2 separate regions of the Mus musculus genome follow, and region 2 is reported to be linked to region 1. The links are microRNA targets in miRTarBase. Many come from high-throughput screens and were not tested one by one. Region 1 holds a microRNA gene; the other region holds the end of a gene's coding sequence.

The links. Region 1 holds the annotated microRNA mmu-miR-3093-5p (CGCACCCCGCGGAGCUCACACU, at 2,329-2,350, opposite strand). A microRNA usually pairs through its seed, bases 2 to 8, with sites in the 3' UTR of a target mRNA and lowers its output. Matches are read on the target gene's strand: a 7mer-m8 pairs with bases 2 to 8, a 7mer-A1 pairs with bases 2 to 7 and ends in A, and an 8mer does both.
Region 2: miRTarBase lists Ttl as a target of mmu-miR-3093-5p. Seed matches in the 3' UTR shown: 7mer-m8 at 2,616-2,622.

Annotation. Positions count from the first base shown.
Region 1 is chr3:88,212,165-88,217,535 of GRCm38, reverse strand. Mir3093 (microRNA 3093) reads right to left here and starts at 2,365; the gene lies at 2,279-2,365. All of the region lies in intron 2 of Gm3764 (predicted gene 3764), which reads right to left. It overlaps Mir9-1 (microRNA 9-1), which reads right to left and starts at 1,938; the gene lies at 1,850-1,938. It overlaps Gm25641 (predicted gene, 25641), which reads left to right and starts at 1,866; the gene lies at 1,866-1,923.
Region 2 is chr2:129,092,152-129,097,522 of GRCm38, forward strand. It overlaps Ttl (tubulin tyrosine ligase), which reads left to right. Exons shown (of 7, transcript NM_027192.2): 7 at 790-4,132. The coding sequence ends at 904. Gm46764 (predicted gene, 46764) reads right to left here. Exons shown (of 3, transcript NR_168333.1): 2 at 1,825-2,344; 3 at 622-1,549. Among named protein-coding and RNA genes, the nearest start is that of Gm46764, 6.1 kb to the right of the region's middle.

The DNA of each region.
Region 1 (5,371 bases):
AGGGGGACTCTAGGATGCCCAAGAACTTGCTGTGTAGACAAGGATGACTTTGAATTCTTGATCCTTCGTCCTCTACTTTGCAACTGCTCAGATTATAGGCCTGTGCTATGATAGAGGGCTGTGTAGCCCTGGCTGTCCTGGAATTTACAGTGAAGACACTATACAGGAAACATTAAAGATGGTAATGATAAGGAAGCTTATTTTATTGATGCCCCTCCTCTGCCCATGCAAATTCCCAATAACAGAGAGGCTTCCCTTCTTTCTACTTTCCCAGTTGGCTCCCTTGGGGTGGGGAGTGTCACTTTCTCCAAGACAGAGTAAATGGAAGGAGCTTTGAGTGTCAAGCCAGTGAGTAATGTCAGCTGCTCACTTGTGCCTGTGTAACATGGGATCACATGGCATCTCTCAAGCAGCGGAAAAAGAAAACAGGCTGTGGCCAGACCATTAGTTCCAGCCTAGACCCAGCCTCTTTTCTCCTTGACTTAAGCTTCATCCCCACCACCCCTACCAAAACAAAACAAATTCCAAGCTTCTGGAATTTAAGAGGCCACTCGACTCTCCCTCCCCTAACTGCTAAAGAAGACACACACAGGCAATAGATTCCCTGAAGTCCCAGAATTTGAATTTGGATTCTCTAATATTTCCCCCCATGTAATACAAAATTGAATCATTATCTTCTAACTGTAAAATCAGGTCCCGGGAGGAAATTTTAAATTTATAAGAACCAGCGGAGTCTGGGTGATGACATTTTGCCCAGTTTTCTGCCTCTTATTAGTCGGTACAGCCCAGGTCTCCAAGTGCCAGCTGGTCAAGTTCGGCTGAGGGCCATGAGAGCAGAGGGGATTCCTAGCTCTGGCCATGTTTGTTAGACCATCTTCTCAGCTGTAGAAACCCTCTTTCACTAAAATATTTAGGTCAGGCAAGATAAATAGATTCTTTTTACAGGAGCCCAAATTAATCTCTCTAATTCTTTGCGTTCTCTGGGCAGCACAGCTACACATTCCTTTGTGTTTGAGCTCCACAGAGCTCCTTGAGGCCATTTGTTCCTTTGGGACACGATTTCCAAGAGTGAGGTTAGGACCGAAAGGTGGGATGCTCTAAAGCCCCCCACCCCAACTCTACACCTTTAGCCACTAATGACAAAGCAGCCAGAGAGAGTTCAGTTAGACTTAGCTCTGGTCCTGAAGGCCAAAGTGAAAGCAAAGAACCTGCGCCCCAGGGTCCCAGAATTCCTGTGGGGTAAAAAGGTCTCTGGCCACTCTGGCCCTTGCCCTTGTGGTTACTTTGTTTCTGCATCGCCATTCTCCCTAATAAGTTCGATGTGTGTGTTGGTTTTTAAGCCTTCCCCGCTCCTAGACCTGTTCCCACCTGGGCAATCTTGACTCCCAGTAAAGCTGAAGGGCTTCAGGGAAACCACCAAAGCAAAAACCAGCTTTCTAGAGACATCCTACGAACCTCGAACTCCACCAGTCGCTTCGAAGAGCCAGAGGGAAGCTGCTCACACCAGCCACCCGCTCCCGGGATGCGTCGAGACCGGGAGAGGGATGCTTGCACTTTCCCCCCAACCCTTCAGCCAAGGGCTCTGTCTCTCCCGGGAGCGGCTTCTCCGGACTGAGGCCCAGACTGCTCCATTTTGACCAGGCCTCCAGAGGCGACCCCAGAGCGGCTTCTTGCTTTCTTCCCAGGTGAGCAGGTTGCGGGTGGGGATCGCGAGGTGGCTCGGGCTGAGCAACCTTTGAAGGCGACGAGTCCCCCTCCCCCCAGCCCTCCAGCCTCCAGGCACGCCTGGCACGGCTCTCCCTCCTGCAGCTCGGCCACTACCAGCGTTCCAGGCCCTCTGCGCAGTGTATGGGGTTATTTTTACTTTCGGTTATCTAGCTTTATGAAGACTCCACACCACTCATACAGCTAGATAACCAAAGATAACAACCAACCCCGCCTCCTGGCCGCCTCCTCCTCTTCCACGCAGCCTCCCGGCCACCGCCTGGACCTCCGTAGTCTCGAGTCGCTCGACGGCGGATGGGGGACGCGCGTGGTGTGGAGGCGAAAAGATGGGATCCAGGACCTCACGCACTATCACGACGAGACCTCAGAAAGGCGAGGAAAAGATGCTACCGCCGACGGTTCTGAGGTCGGGAATCTAGGCTGAAACCAAGCGGCCCCAAGCCTGACCGCCCATTTCCCACTCCCTCCTCCGTGCAGAAGCAGGGTTCCGCCGGTGCTAGTGGAAAGGCTCCAGGGCCTTCGTGCCATCCGGGAAGACCGCAGAAGCCTAGGCCGAGGCCTCCCCAACCTCCCACGGTGTCCACACCCTTCTCTGGAAGGTCGAGTGTGAGCTCCGCGGGGTGCGGCAGAGCCGAGCTCGCAGAGCTGCTCCGAGCTACCGACTGCAGGGGAGCGGCCGCGAAGCCCCGGACGGGAACCCCAGCACTGGGGAACCCCGAGGCCCAGAGGGAAGCCTGTGGCTGGCGGCGGGGTGGAGGGTGATCTAGAGACTCCCCAGCGACTCTCCCAAGGGCAAAGACCCCACCCAGAGAGAATCGGGCGAGCAGTCAGGACGTGGGGCTGCGGGTTAGGGCAAAGGGTGACCAGGCAGGTGCTCCGAGCCCTGGACCTACGGAACCGCGCGGGAGCCGGTTTTGTGCAAAACGCAGCCGAAATCATTCAGAGATGTGAAATATGCCACTGGGGGTCTGAGTGAGAGATGCCCTTAGTGGCTGGAGGGGGCTATCTGGACTGAACCCACTGGAAGGAGGTCCAGGGACCGTGCAGAGGGTGTAGAGCTCCGTGGTCGCAGGTGGCGGACGCGCGCGCTGGACTCTGAGGCGCTTTCCCCACCTCGTGCCCCACGCGGGTCAGGCCACTTACATCAAACCCAGGATGCCCAGTGGTAGTGTCCTGCGCGGTCTTCAGGCGCGTTCCTACCCAGGCAGCGCCACGGACGTGGGTCAAGGATGCCGGGGCTTGCCAGGTAATGGGGCCGAGCGAGAGCCAGCAGGGTGGAGCAGGGTCTCGAGTCCCAGCTCTCTCCTCAGCCTTGGCCGCTGCTCTGGCGGGGGCGCTCTCAGGCTCCGGACTTTTCATTCATCCCTTCACACTCCTTCCTCAGGTCAGCCCCTGATTGGCTATACCTGGTCTGACGTCACTGTCTCGTTTCTTCCCCCCCTCCCCCCCAGCCTTTCCATGCCCGACCCCCTCCCTCCCCAGGCCAGTCCAAGACGTGCAATTGGGGTGCCCCTCCCCCAGAGAATGGGATCCAATGTCTTTATGCCAATCCTTAGTCTTTTGCTGCCTCATCTACAACCCGCCTGCCACGTCTATAATCCATTGCCAATTGCGGTTCTGATGGCCACCTTCGCTCTTCTTGTCGATCTTACATTTTCCTTTTGGGCTCTACGGTACATTGCACCAAGACCAGCACGCAAAAATAGAAAATAAATAGGGCAAAATTCCCTCAAAGAGAAGAGATCTGTAATCTCAGCACCAGGAGGTTGAGGCAGGGATGCGGACTGGAGACTCTATCTCTGACCCCCTCCCACCTCACCCCACCGTTAGAGTCTTTTTGAGTTCTAATTCCTCCCAAACTGTGATCCTAATATTTAGGAGAGGCAAGGGTCTCTTTTGTTCAAGGTTTTCAACTCAAACCCTCACTGAAGGGAAGACTGTGCAGTTTGAGTCTCCTGCTATGAGACAATGGGCGAGCAAAGGGGGCCCTCTTTTCTGCATTTCAGGGGAATGTTCCTTGACCCTATCTGCAGATAACCACAGAATCCTAGCTGCTTTTGAGACTCAGAATTTGGCCAAGTCCTGGAGACCTTTAATAGGTCTTTCCCTCTACCCATGTTCCTCCAGGCTCCCAGGCATGCAGTGCCAGCTCTGGGTTCGGTTCCCCAAGGAAGATGCCTTTCAGGCAAAGCTCTGTCCCCGTCCTCAACTTCCTCCACCTGGCTCTCAATCCAGTCCAGCCAGAAAGGTCCTTTTCTCCACCAAAGAAGCAGAAGCAGAAAAGCACCGGGGAGTAGCCAGTTGCTGTTGGGCAACATCTGGGTTCTAGGTACATCGAAATTCTCAGAGCAACCATGGGCCCCAGGAGCTGCTCTGTGTGCCAGTGAGCGGTCCCTTCATCCTCCTACTTATCCTCTGCTGGGTCCCTTCTATAAAACTGGCTGAGATGCCTAAATCCTGCTGGTCAGATTAAACCAGCCAGTTCCTGTAACCAGGGACCCCTAAACACGGAGTCACCAGCAGTCCATTTAGGGGACTATCACTTTAACCATTGGGTCTGTCTATCTGCTAGTCCCATGAATAGCCCAAAACAAAGCCAGACCTGTGGACTGCTTATCTTGCTTAGATGGAAGGTGGTGGCTAATAGGTTTAACTTAGTGCTTCTCACCCAAAACGGAGTATGTCTGAATGTTCATTGCTATTAATGCTGGCTGCATGGCTGTGGGTGGGGCCAGCTTGAGATGAGATAAAACCCACAAGATGTTTCCCTACCAGAAGGATGATAGCAAGCAAATAGCCTTATCTCTCCATGTCTTGGGGCATTCTCAGGACCAGGTTTAGCCAGAATTTATTTATTTATTTACTTATTTATTTATTTATCTGTCTATTTATTTATTTATTTTGAATCTCCCTCTCTTTTCTTTTTTTCTTTTCTTTCTTTTATTTTCTTTTCAAACCTCTATGTTGTTTTTTTCTCTCTATGTTGTTTTAATGCTCTTTTCTGAGAGAGGCTTGTTAATTAATTTAAGTACTGAGGGTTAAGCCCAGGGCCTCTTATAGGCCAGGCAAGCCCCACTACCCCAGACCTCTTTTACTGCCCCTAAGCCCTACCTCTTTCACTTTTTATTCTGTGACAGTCTCGCTAAGCTGCTCAGGCTAGCCTTGAACTTATTTTAGCACAGACCAGCTTTGAAATTTTGATCTTCTTGCCTCCAGCCTCCCAAGTGCTGAGATTACAAGCCTGTATGCACCACCAAAACCAGCTGGGGGAGAGGTGTTCTAGAAGCTTTGGCAGCTTGGATGATTTGCCAGAACTAAGCCATGTCCAATGGTGGGGCAGAGAAAAGGGCACACCCTAAACTGTCTCCTTCACTCCCCTACAGCTCAGAATGGTGTGCCCAGAGGGCTTGGGAGCTCCTGGAGCTCCAGTACACCTGCAGAAAAAGGGGTTTCTTCCCCCCAAATGTTCTCTAGGCAACTTTCCCTCTGGGCATGGTGCTAAATACAATTCCTAGATCAACCCTGGTAAAGCCCTTGACTACATTTCTCCACCATGCCTACAAGCCTGTGACCCGTTCTCTGCATGCTCCCTCATGCCCTTCATGCCACCTTGTGCCCTTTCAAGGATGCCTGACATACATGTGAC
Region 2 (5,371 bases), not on the chromosome of region 1:
ACCAGACAGACAACCTCCCCACACACTGTCATAGGGAGATGGGAGGGTCTCTCCTTTGTGTTCTGCTGTGCAGCCGTGGGTGTTAGAAGTCAGGGATGCTGGGGCGAAACCTCCCGTGTGCTGATTAGAATTACAGGAAAGGGAACTAAGATGATGGGGTTCTGTTGCCCCTAGGGGAAGTTAAGCCCACTGAGCCACATGACCTTGGGCCTACAATACGCTTGCTCTGCTCTCAAGTTCCGTTTCTCCTATGTATCCTGAGTTCTTCAGTCTTGTTGGTATAGATTACTGCTCCCCTCGCATACTGCCCAGCATGCGCACCCACACAGCCTCCTTCCCCTTCTCCAGACCCTCTGTCTCCTGCCTCTCCTTCCTCTGCTTTTCTACGCTGTCATCACTCTTTGTCAGATGACTCTTTATTTCCTGAGTCCCATCTCAACTGTCAACTCCACCAGTCTTCACTAGTGTCCCTTTTCTCTTAGAAGGTGTTGATTTTCCTGGCCGATGCCTACCCCTCCTTGTACAGCCTCACAGACAGGTGAGCCAGGCTCCTGATTCTACTGAAATTACCTTCTCTGCCAGTCATCAGGAGCTCCTTGTTCCCATCAAGGCCTTACATGGTTTATCTGTGTGCAGAGCCTCTTGTGGGTACTTTATTCACAGAGACGAGTTTTTCAAAAGAGGAATTTCTAGGGCAGATCGTCACTGAAATACACACACACACACACACACACACCATACCCAGCTTTGATGAACAGCCTCAGTGACATCTTTAACAACTTATTTCAGGAAACTCTATGCAGAACTGTGCCAGGGCATCGTGGACATAGCCATATCCAGTGTCTTCCCACCCCCGGACACGGAGCAGGTGCCGCAGCAGCCGGCTGCGTTCGTCAAGCTGTGAAGCACCGGAAGGCACAGAGCCACCTTGGGAAATGTACGGGGTCCTGCTCCAGAGGAAAGAGAGAGAACTGGACTGCTCCTTGTCAAGGCATGCTGGGGGACAGATGTGCAGGAAGAGTGTGAAGAGATGGCGGCTGTGGAAGAGCAGCTGAGCTGCCCACAGTGCTGTGGAGACCTTGGGAAGCTGGCGCAAGCGACTGAGAGGGAGAGCCCAGCACTTCTCTGAAGGGCTGGGACCAGGGATTTGTTATGGCGTGATCTGATCCTTTGAGCGGTTTCTGGCCTTGGATGGTACTGGGAACAGAGCGCCTTCTCCCCGGGATGCAGCCCAGGGGCCTCTGAGGGGGTGTCTGCTCACCTGCTGCAGCTTTAGTGCCTTAGTCTGTGCATGGTGCAGCCTCACTGGACACAGACTGGACCTTAGAGCATTTTAGAGGTTGCCACATGTTCCCTGCGACACTATGTCCCGCTGAACTCTGGACCAGCATGCATCACAGTCCGGGCTGTGCCCTGGCCTGTCAGTGAAGGCCTCTTGCTTGTCACCATCCCGGTGGGCTATGAGTGAGCGCCTGCCAGGGGTCCTGTGGACGCCAGTGTATGCTGCTCACTGCATGTTTTAGAAACAAAAGCCGCAGGCCTGACGAATCTGCAAGCATCAAATAAGCATGAGAGAGAGAAAAACAAAAACAAAACCATGATAATCTTACTTTACTTAAAGGGATGGGTGGATGGGTGGGTGGGAGGGAGTCTCTGAAGAGTCTTGAGTCTCAGTTATCTTTGGTTTAACCAGAATTCTGAATGCCGCTTTGCAATTTCTCTCCCCTTTATCCCCCCACAACCCCCTCCCCCCACCTTTGAACCTTTGTAGCAATCCTTTCTGGGAGTCAGAGAAGGTAGAATCCTTTTCCTCACACTCCTCACCTCATAGCTCTCCCCATGCGGGGCCTCCTTGGCTCCAAGGGCCTCTGCAGGAGCTGGAGGGCCAGGTTCCATTCCAGAAAGGGCCCAGTCTGCATATGCATGTAAGTGACAGGAGAGACGCCCTCTCAGTGAGGGTGTGCCTGCCTGAGTGAGAAAGAAGTATTTTTGGAGCTCTGCACTGCTTCTTTTAAGTGTCCACAAAAGTGTACCATGAGATGTTGTTTCTGGGTCATGGGTCCATTCATATTTTATAGACTTCTAGGGAGCCCGCTTCCATGGTGGTGTCAGGAAGAGTCTCGTGTATTCAGGGTGAGCGTGTGAACAGGCGCTTCTGAAGAGTGTCCTGGAACCACGGCAGACGAAGCGAATCTGCCCTTCTCCCCAGAGCACAGTGTGTTCTTTGCTGGTGTAACCGTGTGCGTCTTCATTTGCATTTACTTCGTACACTCTACAGTCGAGTGAAATGTCCACAGAAGACCTGCTGAAGCACCTCTTCCTCAGACAGGGTGAGGTGTGGGCGCTTGCGGCGAGGAAAGGAAAGATGAGACAATTTTAGAATGTGCACCAGTGGGTGGCAGCATGTGACAGTATTTACTGAAGCAAGGAAAGTTCTAACTCATGGGAGCCTGGAGTTAGAGGGCAAAGGTGCCAGGGTTACCTGGAATGTGGGTAACAGAGGCGGCACCAAGAGCAAAGTTAAACACTCAGTATGAAATCAGTTCTAGAGGCCCAGCACAGCTGACGGGGAGTGGTCTGAGAAGGCAGTGTGCACACTCACTTAGAAAGGGAGGGGGGTGCTGGGTCCTCGGCTAGGCTAGGTGGGCTGGTAATGGAGAAAGCAGGGAGGTCTGTGGGTTCTTGGAGCCAAATCACAGGGACATTCAAGAGTGTTTAGCTGTTATGGAGCTGGAAAAGCAGATGTCAGTAAATCTTTATGAATTCTGACAGGTTTTGTAATAAGCCTAAACAAATCCATACCCTCTGTATAAAGGAAGTGAGGTGTTACAAAGTGGGAAGGGTTGAGTTCCTTCCTCACATAGCTTCAACCATTTTTATGCATTTCCTTCCCACCAAGTAGGAAGATCGGCTGGCTTTGAGCCGTTTCATACCATTATATGGTATCCCTGGCACAGATGGCCATGCCTGGCCTCCCAGTCACTCTTCATGGTCAGTTGGTGTAAGTGCTGCCCATCACCCAGGGTTGGGGGGTTGTTTGGAGATGCCAATTCCACCCATGGCACTGTCATTAGACTGCACAATGTCACACAAGCCAAATAACCCACTGTGCCTTAGTGTCTCGTGGAGGAGACATTACCTGACCCAGGGGCTACCTCAGGGAGGTTTTGTGAGAACAAAAGAGAGTAAGTGGAAGACTCAGGGGCCTTTGGTACCAAGGTTCTCAATGCCGACCGCATGCTACACTCTCCATGAAGTTAAGTAAGTGGCTAACCCTTCCCACCTGTGGCTAATTGAATCAGAACCTCAGGTAACAGTATGCCTTGAGGTGCCTTGAACCATTGCTTTGGGAAAGAGGGCAACACATTATTATCTTGGAAGAATCACTTAAGGATTAGGCTCAAAAAAAAATACTCTTTGAAGCAAGCAATTCTGTAAGAACAATCAGATGCTGATATGTGTATTCATAGTCTAAATATTATCCAAGCAGTGTCTCAGTTTGCTTCTCGTCCAGGCATCTGAAAAATCAAACATGCGTTCATTTACCTAAGCAGTAGTCAAGTCCTTGGTAGCAAATGTACACAGACACTAATCTATAAATCTAATCATATATATTAGAGTTATCCATTAATTATGGGAGAAAAGCCCCTCCCCTCACACTTGACTTCAATGGCAATTATAAAGTCCATTTTGCCAAGAATATATAAGTGCCTCTGTGTTGTGAAACAGCATGGAGCTGGCCTGCACAGCAGCTGACAGTGTGTGTCAGTAGCTCTGTGGGATGACACATGCACAGGACATCGGGGAGCGCTGGGAATGGTCTGTGACCCACAGGGCCAGCCAGTGATAGTGATGCTATAAGGTATTCTTATAAACAGGCGTGGTTGTGTTCTTGGGTGAACTCAGTCCTAGTACCAGTGTGGCAGGGAGGGGACCCATGAACAAAATGACAAGGTGCCAAAGTGGGTTGCATGTGGGTTGTGGGTGCTGTCCTGAGGATTCAGTAGCCGATGTATGTGCCTCCAATCCTGGACACAGAGCCTGCACCGAAGAGGGCATTTCTGAAATAAGGCAACTATATTGAATGTTTTAAATGCCTGGAGCATTAAAGATATTTCAAGTGTTTTGTGTCCTTGGGTTTGGTCCTCTTACTGTGGGGGTTGACGAGCCTTTGGCTATCACTGGTTATTTCAGTTTATGATACCACCCAGAGGAAGGCAGGATTTTCCTAGAAACAGCAAGACAGCAAATATCCTTACCTCTTGTCAGCTACCTGGGGAGTCTCTCTTGCCTATCCCTTATTATTCCCTAAACTCTGCAAATGGATGGCCGTGATTCTAAATTCACCTACCATCCAGAGCCAAGTCAGATATGACTATAGTTCCCTAAACAAGTGTTATATATTACAGAAGTCAGCAGGTGGTAATTTCAGCTGCAGACCCCAGGCCATCCCTTCTCGGTGTCTTGTGCCCCCATCTGAATCATGGCACGATGGTCAAGTGGACCAGTGGTCATGCAGGAAAGCCATGTGTGCTTCCAGCACAGGGTAAAGATGAAGCTATTTGCTAGAATGCCTTACTAATCTTGTGGCTCTGGCTGAGTATGTAGATACCTGTCAATCTCCAGAGGATGTCCAGACACTACAGCACTTTGTACAAGCAGCCCCACAAGGTAACTAGTCATTTCTCAGGCTTTGAGGTTGCTTGCACTGAACTCCTCGGTGCACCTGGCCTGCCTTCGGGGGCTACCTGCAACCCATTTCTGTGACTCACATTAGCTATCGGGCTGTTGGACTTCACCATAATTTTTTGGCTATTGGTTTCTAGGATGACCACGAAGCTGGGAAGGCAAGGATGGAAGCAGGACAAGTTAAAACATCAGGAAGCTCACCGTTTTTACTGGGATGTGACTGCTTTCTGGGTTGCTGCCAGCATAGGCTTAACATCTAGAGCACGTTCCTGGTGTTCTTAGTGGTTTTGTGGCACAGAGGATTTTCAGGGGTTCTACCTCTGCCCTTCAGAGAGAGAAGAGCATTCGTAGGGTAACAGGTGTGTTCTGCCACACCCTTCATGAACTGCAGCTTCATTATGAAGAAAAAAAAAGAGCTCCTGATGATACATGGACCCAGCCCGAGAGAAGTCCTTCAGTGTCATTGAACACTACCCCTCGGGGGCTGCCGAGTGGCTATCTGCCTGGCGGCCTGTCTGCTCAGCACTCCATCTTTGCTGTGGGCATAGCGTGTCTGTGTGTTGTTATCATTTGACTTTCTGTTGTTTGTTTGTTTTTTTGTTTGTTTGTTTTGTTTGACAGGTGTCTCTTTGTATAGTCCTGGCTTCCTGTAGCTCACTATGTAGACCAGGCTGGCCTGGAA